Linked DNA regions of Nothobranchius furzeri. The protein of the gene in region 2 interacts with the protein of the main gene of each other region in a biochemical or structural test. Links are inferred from orthologs where the notes say so. Each region holds a gene or a part of one and is shown on either strand. Other genes may lie near its edges. The genes, in order: neurabin-2, ppp1cc and tlx1.

What was found.
Region 1: the proteins of ppp1cc (region 2) and neurabin-2 form a complex in vitro, tested with the Homo sapiens proteins (2 studies listed by BioGRID). The link is inferred for Nothobranchius furzeri from reciprocal best matches to the Homo sapiens genes PPP1CC and PPP1R9B.
Region 3: the proteins of ppp1cc (region 2) and tlx1 form a complex in vitro, tested with the Homo sapiens proteins (2 studies listed by BioGRID). The link is inferred for Nothobranchius furzeri from reciprocal best matches to the Homo sapiens genes PPP1CC and TLX1.

Annotation. Positions count from the first base shown.
Region 1 is NC_091756.1:47,290,691-47,294,607, forward strand, and holds part of neurabin-2, read right to left. Parts: intron 2,845-3,917; coding exon 2,724-2,844; intron 2,510-2,723; coding exon 2,405-2,509; intron 1,407-2,404; coding exon 1,274-1,406; intron 1-1,273. UniProt on the Homo sapiens protein: Seems to act as a scaffold protein in multiple signaling pathways. Modulates excitatory synaptic transmission and dendritic spine morphology. Binds to actin filaments (F-actin) and shows cross-linking activity. Binds along the sides of the F-actin.
Region 2 is NC_091757.1:28,388,035-28,392,294, forward strand, and holds the end of ppp1cc (serine/threonine-protein phosphatase PP1-gamma catalytic subunit A), read right to left. Parts: intron 1,847-4,260; coding exon 1,712-1,846; intron 1,419-1,711; coding exon 1,329-1,418; 3' UTR 770-1,328; downstream 1-769. Other genes in the region: pptc7a (protein phosphatase PTC7 homolog), read right to left, coding at 1-191. UniProt on the Homo sapiens protein: Protein phosphatase that associates with over 200 regulatory proteins to form highly specific holoenzymes which dephosphorylate hundreds of biological targets.
Region 3 is NC_091752.1:8,276,750-8,281,009, reverse strand, and holds the start of tlx1 (T-cell leukemia homeobox protein 1), read left to right. Parts: upstream 1-993; 5' UTR 994-1,284; coding exon 1,285-1,705; intron 1,706-3,074; coding exon 3,075-3,312; intron 3,313-4,260. UniProt on the Homo sapiens protein: Controls the genesis of the spleen. Binds to the DNA sequence 5'-GGCGGTAAGTGG-3'.

The DNA.
Region 1 (3,917 bases), on a different chromosome or scaffold from region 2:
AACTGCAGACAACAGATCATCCGATGTGGGTTTTACTAGTCAGTACCAATACCGATACATAGAGGTCTTGCTTATTCGCTGCTGGTTTTCTGAACCGATTTTATCGGCTTATCTCTAGACATTTTGTTCATAAAACAAATGAACTTATCTGTTTACTGTTAGACTAAAAATCCACAGAAGAGAAAACGATGATTGTTTTTCTTCTATGCAACTACACTAAATGTCCACTAGATGGTGCAAAACTCAAACGACCACTTCTTATTTTTTCTTTGCATTCCAACAATGTACATCTTTTCAAGAACCGCCCACTCTAACAGTGCGAGAGTAGGGACGTTTTCCACTCCGGTATCAGGAGAAAACCTCAGTAGGATTTTGAGTAGAGAAAAAAACATCTGACAGAGCAAAGAAGGCGAGAGCACAAAATCTGAGTCATCCAGATCTGGCCCCATTTCTGAGCTCAGCTTACAGTCTGATGATGCAGACAGTGCATGCTGGACACTTTTATTGTCTGCTACTGTAGTGAGATAAAAGTCTTAATCCTAACAGGAAGTAGGAGACAATGAGAAAGTCAAATAAAAGCCCTATTTTCTTTTTTAAAGGTAGTATTTTGTTTTCTAAACCAGTTGTAAAGGCTAAAATTAAATTTAAAGCTACTTTTGTTTTATTTATATCTCAGTTTTGTGTAAGAATGTGTTTATGCTGCAACAACTAAATCTAAAGGATTTTATATAAATCAGGAAGTCTGACGGGTAAAAGAGGAAGGTGTGTTAACGAGCATCACACTCTCACTTTCTGCTCTTCACCTTCAGCTTTGTCACTGTTTCCAGCAGCGCAATCTCTAATTCTCAGATCAGTTTCAGAACAGGAGTGCCAGTGTTCTCATACCCATCACTGCAGCTGTCCAGTGATGTTGCACTGACTCCAGCTAAAGTGGGAGAGCGTGCATGAGATAAGGTCTATTAGTATTGTGCACCAATTTCAGAAAATGACACTAAATACTTAAATGCATGTGGGAATGGCTCAGCCTACATGAACAACATAAGATGTCTGCAAATGCAAGACTTAAAAAAGCGTTTAAAAAAACTCTTTCCAACAAATGCAGAAAGCCTGTGAATTCCTGCGGAAAGATGCTAACTGAGCTAATTTAACACACTTCTGCTGGAGTCATGGAGGTATGACATGACTGCACACAAGCTCCTGGGCCAGAAAAGCCTTGGCGGTCCAGATCTGAAATCAACATGGCAGCTACAGGTGGCGCACGGCCCCGACTGACCTCTTGTTCGTCCATGTACTGGTTGTAGCGCTGTTCCATCATCTCCCTCTGCCAGCGCTCCTGCTCCAGTGTCTGCTGGATGAGCTGAGCCACTTCGCTCTGCTCGCCTGGCTTCTCTCGGCCAATCACAAACCTGTCATTAAATGATCACCAGTCAGGGCCCTTGGTGCACAGTGTGCAGGACTTCAGTGTTCTCCATAAATGATAAGCAGCTTCTTGAGATGGTGTAGTTAAAGGTATTAATGCAAGGTAATGAGAGGAAATAGCTTCCTGTTTGCTTTTGAACTAACATCCTCTTCACTTCTTTAAAACCAAATCCTGCCTCTCTTACAGCTCATCATGGATTTGATATGCTTCCTCATCGAAGCTTAAAAATCCCTTTCAAATTAAAGCTAGCCATGTAATTTTCACTGAATCATCGCTGATCAACAGATTTTCATTAAAAAGCCGTCTCCGTCTCTCGCTTTTCCTTTTACGGGTAATTAAATGCTCACAAACACACTTCCTGTTCCAGGCTATTTGTCTTCCTGGTGTTTATGAATAGTTCTGAGCTCTGATGGCCTCCGTCGCCGCTGCAGCAGATCCATAATGTATGAGCTAAGAGGTCTCCGATCTTCATAACTCACCCAACACTAAAGAATGATCCCAATAGCTCTGGACACCAAAACTCTGAATTATGAATGAGCTCGGACAGCAAAAGGAGCTCACAGCAACTGCTGGAGCCACCAAAACTCCAGAGAGCAACATCTACAAATAGCCTGCTGGCTTTTTCGACTGATTCTTCTGTATCTGCTGCTGATAACAGGCTTTTCTGTGGCTTCTCCTCTTTGGGCCTTTTTCAGGAGCTCCTAAATGCAGAAGGTTATAATCATGACCCTGTGGGAGCTGCAGCATACGTAAATCTAAAGTCTGGTTAACTGAATGGGCAGGATGTGGTAGAAGGCAGACTGTGGGTGGATGTATATCAAAAGGAAGCCATCGTTTTAAAGAAGAATGCTAGATGTCAAACCGCGCTGAGTAATGGCGGTTGTAAGAACGTAGAACATGGCCAAATGAAAAAAACTGACTTGATGGTTGTCTTGATGTAGAACTGGGTCAAAGCAGGATGAATTTGTCTTAATCGACTCTTACTTGACAGTTCCTGAGGTGTTCCTGAGTACGGAGGCAGCGAAGCTCTGCGTGACTCCCACCAAACTCGTCCCGTCCACCTCCACAATAAGGTCGTTCACCTGGATCCTGGAGAAGAGAAGCAATCAACACAGATCATGCAGCTCAACCCACACACGCCAAAAGGCATTCGCAAGACTTTTATTTCTGCAGCAGAACCAACAGAGTCTGGGAGTTAAATAAGCCTCCTCAACTAAATCTCCTGCTTCAGGATAGGTTTCTCAGAGCTTCACTGGGATGTTTCTGCACAGATCAAAGGTCAAGCACTGAAACATGAACTCACCGCCCATCTCTGTGAGCTGCCCCTCCTTCTGTAACGGTCTTAACAAAGATGCCCAGCTTCTCCAGGCCCATGTCGGCCCCTGCACCCATCCCAATGATGCTGATGCCCAGACCGTCGCTATCTGAAACCAAAGAGGGAGACCAGGCCAGCAGTTATTTTGGTCATGCAATGAACATGTCATCCCTGGGAGGAAACCATGAATCCATATTTGGACTTTATCTGCGTAAGAAAACTGGTTTATCAGTTATGAACTAGTAAACAATATTTTCCCCCTTTAAAGTACATAATACTTAAAAGAAAACCAACTGCAGGGAAGTTTTAACTGTTGTGAAAAAGCTAGAAAAAGAAATTCTAAAAATGTACAATTTTATTTTTTGCTGTGCTTTTCATGAGAAAAAAGGTGTTGTGTTGTGTCATACATTATTAACTCATTAACTGCCATTGACGACTAAAGTCGTCACTTGCATTTTTGTACTGGGCGGGCGTTGGAACGAGCCCCCGCACCGCGAGAACAAACATCACTTCTCTAAAGCTGATCTTCATCTGCATACGTCTCACGCCACATGAAGCAGAAAATCCATGTTAGGAGATCGTTTTGGGCCGCTGCTGTAAAAAAAGTGAGGCGCGAACCGGAAAAGCTTCTGCCGATCACAATTCGACAAAAGAGAATGAAAGAACGAATAATGCTAAAAACACGAGGATTATTCCTGATGTTAGAAGTGAGTCTACTCTTTGTTTTGGTAGTTTTGGCGCTGACATCATGGTAGAGCACCACGTTCTGTGACTCTTCAAAAAACAGTAAAAACACTCAAAAACGCTGGCAGCATGAGGCTTTTCTGATCAGGAAATGGCCAGCAGTTTACTCTGGTGTTCACGAGTGTGTGTGTGCGTGTGTGTGTGTGTGCATGGACGAGTGTGCGGGTGATTGTATGTCCACTTTTGGAAGTTGGGTGCGGGAGGGAACTGTAATTTTTAATTGTTTTATACTTGGGGAGGGGGCCTGGGATGGGAATGTGGGATCTATGGGGCCATTTTAATCTGTAAAGCACTTTGAGTTGCATTTTTTTGTATGAAAAGTGCTATATAAATAAAGTTGATTTGATTGATTTAATGAGTTAAAGGTGCATTATGTAAGAATATAGTGAGAATTTTACTGTGAGAAAACCCCATAAGAGTCTAATGTTTCAGTCATTT
Region 2 (4,260 bases):
GCAGACCTGTGGCGGGCGATGAAACACGCGTCGTCCCCATAACACATCCCTTTCTTCAGGATGCCTTTGCGGAAGTCTTTACCGAAGCCGCAGCTCGCCGTCACCAGGCTGTAGTCGCGACTGTCAGTCTGAGAAAGTCCACCGATGACAGCTCTGGCGACCAGTCGACCGTAGGACAGCACCGACAACATCCCCTACGCACCAACTCCGCACAAACCAGCCGGCCAAGCTAGCCGCGTCGCCGGAACCACCACGTAGTGTTGGCGGGCAGCGCGGTATGGAGCCGGGCTGACCGGACACTCGAACACCGGCTCTTCTAGTGAAACAGGAACCCAAAGAAAACACCACGCTTTAGCTGTAACGGCGGGTGGTGAGCGGCCATGCTGGCGCCTGAGGTTGCTGTGGCCTCGCGCCACGCTCCGCACCGACTACGGTCTTATGACTCCTCTGACGTCAGACGTTACCAAAACAACGTTTCCTAATAAGGACAAACAACGTTCAGCCCCGTTACCCAACAGGAAGGCCTCCAGTCTGCTATAATTGAGCTCGACACACACAGGATACCATACAAAAAAGAAAAACGAATAAAATGTTTTGGACTCAAAACCATTACAACCAGTAACAAAACGACCGACCAGTAACGTGCTTTGTATCCCCGGTGATCTCCCTCTTGTGGACGTTCATGGAAACATCCTTTTAGATTAAGGTTTCAGGGCTGTTTGATGTTGAGGGGAAAAAAAGTTGCAGAAAGAGACATCCAGACACCAGCTCCCCCCAAAAATACACTTAAAGTTTATTAGAAAGGTTTAGACATTACAAGAGTTCTTGTTTATTCATTTAATTGAGCACAAGACTCGTTTAAAAATGTGATAAGTGTGTAGTCAATTCTCTAGAACACTGAGAAAATTAAATGTCAATAAAGTTCGCTGAAGAAAACCGACGTCCGACTTTCTTCATACTTTTATATCCGTTAACAATTACAAACTGTGAGGGAGAATAAACAAAGGAATGACACACGAAACAAATTGAAAAGTTGTGCACAGCTTCAAACAAGGCATTCCTGTGCATAAGTAGCTGTATTTATTATGCTTTTCCTGATTGAACAGTCATGTGTGGTAAAGACTAGCTGCAAAATGGAGTGCAAAACACCTGAGGATTTTCATGGTGACATATTGATTTTGCCCCTGTGGAAAAAAAAAACAATAAATATTTTGCTTTCATCTAGTAGGAGTGGACACTTTTTCAATATTGGCAGCGTGTAGAATAACCAATTCCTCAAATGCAGAAGACAAAAGCAGACCCTGGCAACTAGTCCTCCACTCAGCCCCTCACTTCTTAGCCTGCTTGGTGACCATGTTGCGGGGGGGAGTCACAGGACGGCTGCCGTTGGGTTTCTTCTTCTCAGCTGGTTTCAAAATCTGAACAGAAAAAGTCAAACCTGTTATGTTCAGGTATAACCCAGGAACTGAGTAATGTTGTTAAACGTGTCTCTTATCAGACTTTTTTCAAGCATTTGTGTAAAGGTAGACCTGCCACTAAATAATATTCCAGTCTTTAGCTTCAAGAATATATTTAGCTTCAATTTTAATGAGTTCAAACCAAATGTGATGTGACTGAATTACCATACGGCGTTTCTCCTGTAGGCTCCTCCTGTAAGCCAGAGAGCCAAATGAGAACAAACCTCCTATACTTACAAACACAGACACACTACCTGAAAGGAGCACATGAGTGTCTCATCCACGCTCATCATGGCACCGGCGTTGTCAAACTCCCCACAGTAGTTTGGTGCTGAGAACAAAGTGACGAGCTGCCTCTTTGCAAAAAACTCGTAGCCGTCTTCAACAACCTGCCACGATAAAACAAAAAATGACGATGTCACTCCTCAAAGAGCCTCAGCTTAAACATTACAAAGCTTTATGATATTTCTCATGGTTTAAAGAGTTCTTCCTAGAAAACCAATTCAGGCCAGACAACATTAATGGGCTTGTACTTTATGCAGACCTGCCAACCGTGTCAAAATTTTTGAGTACCACTTGTGCGGCGGTTTTTTTGCAGACTTTTGCAACTCCGCTGCTTTTCACGCTGTAATCTCCCCATTCACTGGATGAAAACTTTTACACACACACACACACACACACACACACACACACACACACACACACACACACACACACACACACACACACACACACACACACACACACACGCGCGCACAATTATGTTTATGTATTTAGCAGACGCTTTTGTCCAAAGCGACTTACAAGTGATAATCGGCATGTTGCCCTTGAGGCTAACAACAACAACAACAACAACTTGACATCAGTCATGGAGAGGAGGGAACAAGGAGTGGACAGTAGAGAGGGGGGGCGGGTGCAGGGAGGGTGTTAGTTTAGAAGATGCTCTCTGAAGAGCAGGGTCTTCAGGAGTTTCTTGAAAATTGAAAAGGAAGCCCCTGTTCTGGTAGTGCTTGGAAGGTCATTCCACATTTGTGGAACGATGCATGAGAAGAGTCTGGATTGTCCTGAGCGTGGTGTAGGCACTGCTAGCCGACGATCCTGTGATGACCGGAGCGGCCGGGCCGAGACGTAAGCCTTTGCAAGAGGATTCAGGTAGATGGGAGCCGTACCGTCTCGGACTTTGTATGCTAGTGTTAGCAGTTGTTGTTCATAGTTCTTATTTTGACGAGTAAGGTTATAGACATTTTTACAGTCTGACCTGACTCCAAAGTGTCATGTATTTTAATATTAAACAGTAAAACTCTAAAGTTTCCTTATATAATATTTGTGCTTATACAAGTTACTTGCATTAAATTATTTCAATACAAATCAATTAAAAAAACAATTATATTAATGGTAATTATTTATTTTGTTAATTGCAATATTAAATTGGCTTAAAGCACATATGCACACATCACCAGGGCTAATTTACTAATTACCTGCAGCTCCCTGGTGGCTCATGTCCACATCATAACTGCAGATTGTGCTAAATGCACGGTGAGGTGTTGATATTTGGACAAAAACTTCTGAGACACTTGGACCCTCTTCTTTTTGGCAGGTCTGCTAACCAACCCCTCCCTGCCTGCTTTTCCCTCATCTGCCATAGCATGAGTTGCAAAACGAGCTGTGAAAAATAATAATGGCTGCAAGTTTAAACTGTATAAATAATCACATTCCTCCTTATAATACAGGCTAAATCTATCTTCATGGATAAAGGCAAAAACACACACACACACACACACACACACACACACACACACACACACACACACACACACACACACACACACACACACACACACACACACACACCTGCTGCTTTCTCTTTAGTCGCACATTTTTAGTTTTTTTTCACTCGGATGTTGGCTTGAATATTCAACAGTGAAAGTAACGTTACGCGTTCGCATTCACCAAAAGACAGCCAGTCCGGCCCGCTGACACACACACACACACGCAGGCCCACACACACAAACACAGTTTACCTTACCAGAGCTGCAGCGAGTGGCGAACCGGAGGGAGAGAGGAGCAGCGGTCAGTACGAAGCAGGGCGGGGCTGTTACGCTATTGGTTAGGCAGGATAGCTTTTCTCTGCTGTTCTACGATGATTGGCTTAAACTTCCCCACGCCGCTGAGTCGTGTTGTCAGACATGAGTACCACACGCGTATGTTTGCCACAGAACTCAACTCACGTATCGTTAGCTTTTTGCGTAGTTTAGAGGGGTGAGTCGTACCAGCGTAGATAGATGCCAAATTGGCTACGCAAAATGCGTACAGGTTGGGCAGGTCTGCTTTATGTGATGTGGCTTGAGTATTCAAATACTAATATTACAAACGATAAACTTCTGAAACGGTTCTTGATTTTAGATGCTGAAGAAGAAAATAAGTCTTATTTTCACATAAAACCCTCCTGTCTTTTAACTGAGTCCACGCTCTGAATGATCTGAAACAAGAAAAAAGACCAAATACTAAAAAAAAACCCACAGAAATATTAAAACTCTCCACCATTTAGCATCTGGCTGACAGAGAGGCATGCATGTAGGTGCAGGCTTCAGCCATATGACTGATCTAAACACAACACTACTATGTGTGTTCTTACATAAACACATTAATCAGCGGATGAGTTGAACAGGATCTGTTTCAGTCTGCAGCTAACATCCTGTTTTATGCTTCTCTGTTTACATTATCAGGACCTTCATGGAGGAGTGAATGAGAGCTAGCTTCTATTCCCTCCATTTGAGAGGAACAATCCTCCTTTCCCACCGGG
Region 3 (4,260 bases), on a different chromosome or scaffold from region 2:
AGGTTCCTGCCAATTAACCGTCAGATAAAATGATAAGTTACAACTAATCAATTCATCTGTTTAAACTTAAATTAGCTTATAAATCAATTAAAACAGGTGAGTTTTTTTTATGTTATCTCAATAATATTCAGATTTAAACTGTGCGCGAGACGCATTGTTGTTGCTGGTCGGGCAGCCAATGAGAACTTTCCCAAACATCAAATATTAATATCCAAGTAGCCGTTAAGTAATTAGGTCCCCGTGGACTTCCGGTGGAGAAAATCAATGAGAAACATGGTTTAATTTATCATTTAATTGTTGGAGGTTTGAGGCGCAGAAAAGCGCAACAGCGCTGCGGGTTGTTTATCATCTGCGCCTAATGAAAGATTCTGTTTTTATTGGAGCTTTAACCCGCTGATGGGAAAAAAGCATCCATCATTTCCGCTTCCGTTTCCCAATCGCAGCAAAGTGCATCTAATTGTAGTTATTACTTATTAAACCCGCTTCATCCCTGCACATGAATTATTAACCACCTCACATCCTCCTCTAATAACAATCATTTTTCATTCATTCATTCACTCATGTGGCAGAATCAAACCAACACCTTCTATGGTTTAGCTTCAGACGATGCTGCCAACAAATTCATTCATTCATGTTTTTATTTGGATTCAACATTTTAGAACATCCTTAATTCGTGACTTTTTTTTTGTTAGTCAGCTAAAACAGCTGATAGTACAAAAACAATAAAATGCCGTCAGAAAATCATCGATCTGCGAATAAAGATTTATTTTGTTTTTTCAAACAAGTAGAATTAGACAAAGTTTCTGCGTTTGTGTGTGTTTGTGTGTGTGTGTGTGTGTGTGTGTGTGTGTGTGTGTGTGTGTGTGTGTGTGTGTGTGTGTGTGTGTGTGTGTGCGCGCGCGCGCGCGCGCGCGCTCCCCGCAGCCAGTCAATGAGCAGATAAATCTTGTGGTTCCTCTAGTTCCGGTACCGCTGCTCTCTGGGGTGTTCCGGACCGTCCCGGTGGAACAGTCCGGTTCTCACGCACAGGCCTGAATTCGGGTTTTAATCTCGCGCTGTCTATTTGGCACTTTGATTGATGTTCCCGCACAGCGGAGGGGCGGGCAGGCCAGCACCCGACTCCCCACCCTACCGCTTGTGCGCACAGAAAGACGCGCACACGTGCGTGTAATCGCTAGACAGCGATCGGAGGTCGAGCAGAGGAAGCGCAGACGGGAGAGTCGAGGGAGCGGCGCGCGGAGCATCCTCTGTTCCTCGAGCAGGAGCGGGGGGCTCACGACGGCCATGGACCACATGGGGCTCCTGGGGGCGCACCTGCAGCAGCAGCACACGCACGCGGAGCCCATCAGCTTTGGCATTGATCAGATCCTCAGCAGCGTGGAGCAGAGCTGCATGCTGGGCGCTAGGATGCAAGAGCCGGACTACGGATACCCGGCCTATGGAGCGGGCGGCGCGAGCGCCGGCTTCGCCTGCGGAAATGGAGGATATAATGGCACGGGCGGCGCGTGTGGGGTCGCCGCGCTTGGAGGGGCTTATCACATGAACATGAGCGTGAACATGAACGCAAATAATGTGAACTCTGCTGGGGTGATCCGTGTCCCCGCACACCGGCCGCTCAATGGTGGGAGCTCGTCTGTGGCGCCGAGCGCGCTCACCTTCCCGTGGATGGAGAGCAACCGCCGGTACACCAAGGACAGGTTCACCGGTACGGAGCCAGAAATAATAATAATAATAATAATAATAATGATAATAATAATAATAATAATAATAATAATAATAATAACACGCACACGAGCAACTAAATTAGCTGCAGTAACAAACAAATAATAAATAATAAATATACAGCTAACGAATAAAATAAAAATAGTTTATTGTTTAAAAGAACAATAATATTATTAATGATAATTCAAATAAATGAACGAAAATAATACATTTCTCTTGCAATAATAAAAGAGGAATACGTTTATGATTAATTTTATCGAAACGTAATAATAAATTGAAAAAACCCAATATAGTTTTAATGTAAAAGCAAATTTCTGCTTAAGAGTCTTTTGAAAATTAAATTAGTAAAATTAATTTAAATTTTATTTCTCCCAATTTTCAGCAGTCTAAAAGTTTCTTATAATTATTAAATTATTCATTGTATTTCTTATTTATTACTCTGTTATCGCACTGCAAGAAACAGTATGAATTAGGCTGAAGCAGGTGTGTTAATAATAATCATTATATTATTATTATTATTATTATTATTATTATTATTATTATTATTATTATTATTATTATTATTATTATTATTATCATTGTTATTAACATTGTTATTATTGCTGATTAGTTATTGATGAATTCTAATAATTGCTCAGAAGTGCGTCACTATTTAATGTTTAAAAAATACCTCCAGAAAACCAAATGAGTGGTGAATTTAACTCTTCAGATTAAATTTTTGTTTGAAACCTGCAGGCAGAATTTGGTTTTTAGAGTTTATTTTTTAATCGTACTGGTGTAAAATTTTTAAAGTAAAATGTGTAAAAATATGTTGTTGAATTTACCTCAAGATTCAGATGTTAAAACACTTTAAAGTCTTTTTATTTCTCTGGTGTTTTATTATAAGGAGGATCTAAAAATCTAAACAGAGTAATGTGGCAAAATTTATTTTATACCATCAGTTTATCTGTGTGTGTGTGTGTGTGTGTGTGTGTGTGTGTGTGTGTGTGTGTGTGTGTGTGTGTGTGTGTGTGTGAGAGAGAGAGAGAGAGAGAGAGAGAGAGAGAGAGAGAGAGAGAGAGAGAGAGAGAGAGAGAGAGAGAGAGAGAGAGAGAGAGAGAGAGAGAGAGAGAGAGAGAGAGAGAGAGAGAGAGAGAGAACAGGAGCTGTATTTAGAGGTGGAGCTTTGTAAATGTTACTTCCGGGTCTCCGGTTGTGTGGAGTGAATGAAAGAATGAATTACTTGAAATGAAAATAAGATCCAGACTATGTTGCTGCTTCTTTCTGTTTTTCTGTGACGCTGCTGCTGCTTTTCTGTCTGACTCCTTGCTGCTTTTCTTCCCGTTCTGTCCCGTTCTGTCCCGGATGTGCAGTGTCCCTCTCACCCCTCACTGTTACACGCCGTGTAGGTCATCCGTACCAGAACCGGACGCCGCCGAAGAAGAAGAAGCCGCGGACGTCGTTCAGCCGCCTGCAGATCTGTGAGCTGGAGAAGCGTTTCCACCGACAGAAGTACCTGGCCTCCGCGGAGCGCGCCGCTCTGGCCAAAGCCCTGAAGATGACCGATGCGCAGGTCAAGACCTGGTTCCAGAACCGACGGACCAAATGGAGGTGATTCGGTTCTTCTGTAGTACCACCAGAACAAAATGCTGATGAAGGTTCTCAGTCATCCAGGTCTGCTAATCCAAAGGATTCCACTGAAGGCAACTGGACTTTGGTTTCTTGACGTTGCGCTTCTCATCTGAGGAGCTAGAGCATTCAGTGGAACCATTTGGATTACCACCAGAACCAATCATGGATCACACATGAAGGGAAAGAGCTGTTAAAAACTTTGTTTGGTCCCTTTTCAGATCTAAGGTCATCAGTCGATTAATCAGTCAATCAACCAATTACATTTGAATCTGAAAGGATCAAAGCGGACAAGAGCTCATTTATATCATTGGCCTCTAGCACGTGACCACTGTCTTGCGTCAGCGGGCAGGTCCCTTAGAAAATGTTCAGGATGTTTGATATTTATTATTATTATTATTATTATTATTATTATTATTATTGGTGTTGTTATATATTAATAAACATCATCATAGCAGAATTTTAGATTAGAATATTTAGAGTTAATCAGATTGTCTTTTTGTCTTTTTTTTGAACATGCGTACATACACATAGTAATACACACAACAGAAGTAACTTATTCTCGGTTTTTTATTTATTTATTTTTATTTTATTTTTTTTAACACATGTTCAAAAGGGAGTAGGATGAAGCATCAGCTTATTTAATCCCACCCCTTTCTCGACATCAAATAACTAATAGTTATTTAATGTTGTCTGGTTTTGGCAAATGACTTTGCAACAGCAATTAAATTTTTATAGACTTTACTGTTTATTTTATTCTAAACACTTTGAAGTATTTTGTATTTATTTTGGCCTAGTTAGATTAATTTGAAGATTTTGTATTTTTGTGAAAATAATTTATTTATGAATGTATAATTTATTTTGTATTTCTAAAGTTTTGCATCCGTAATAAGTTTAACATTTTTATAAACATTTTAATTGCTGGAATTT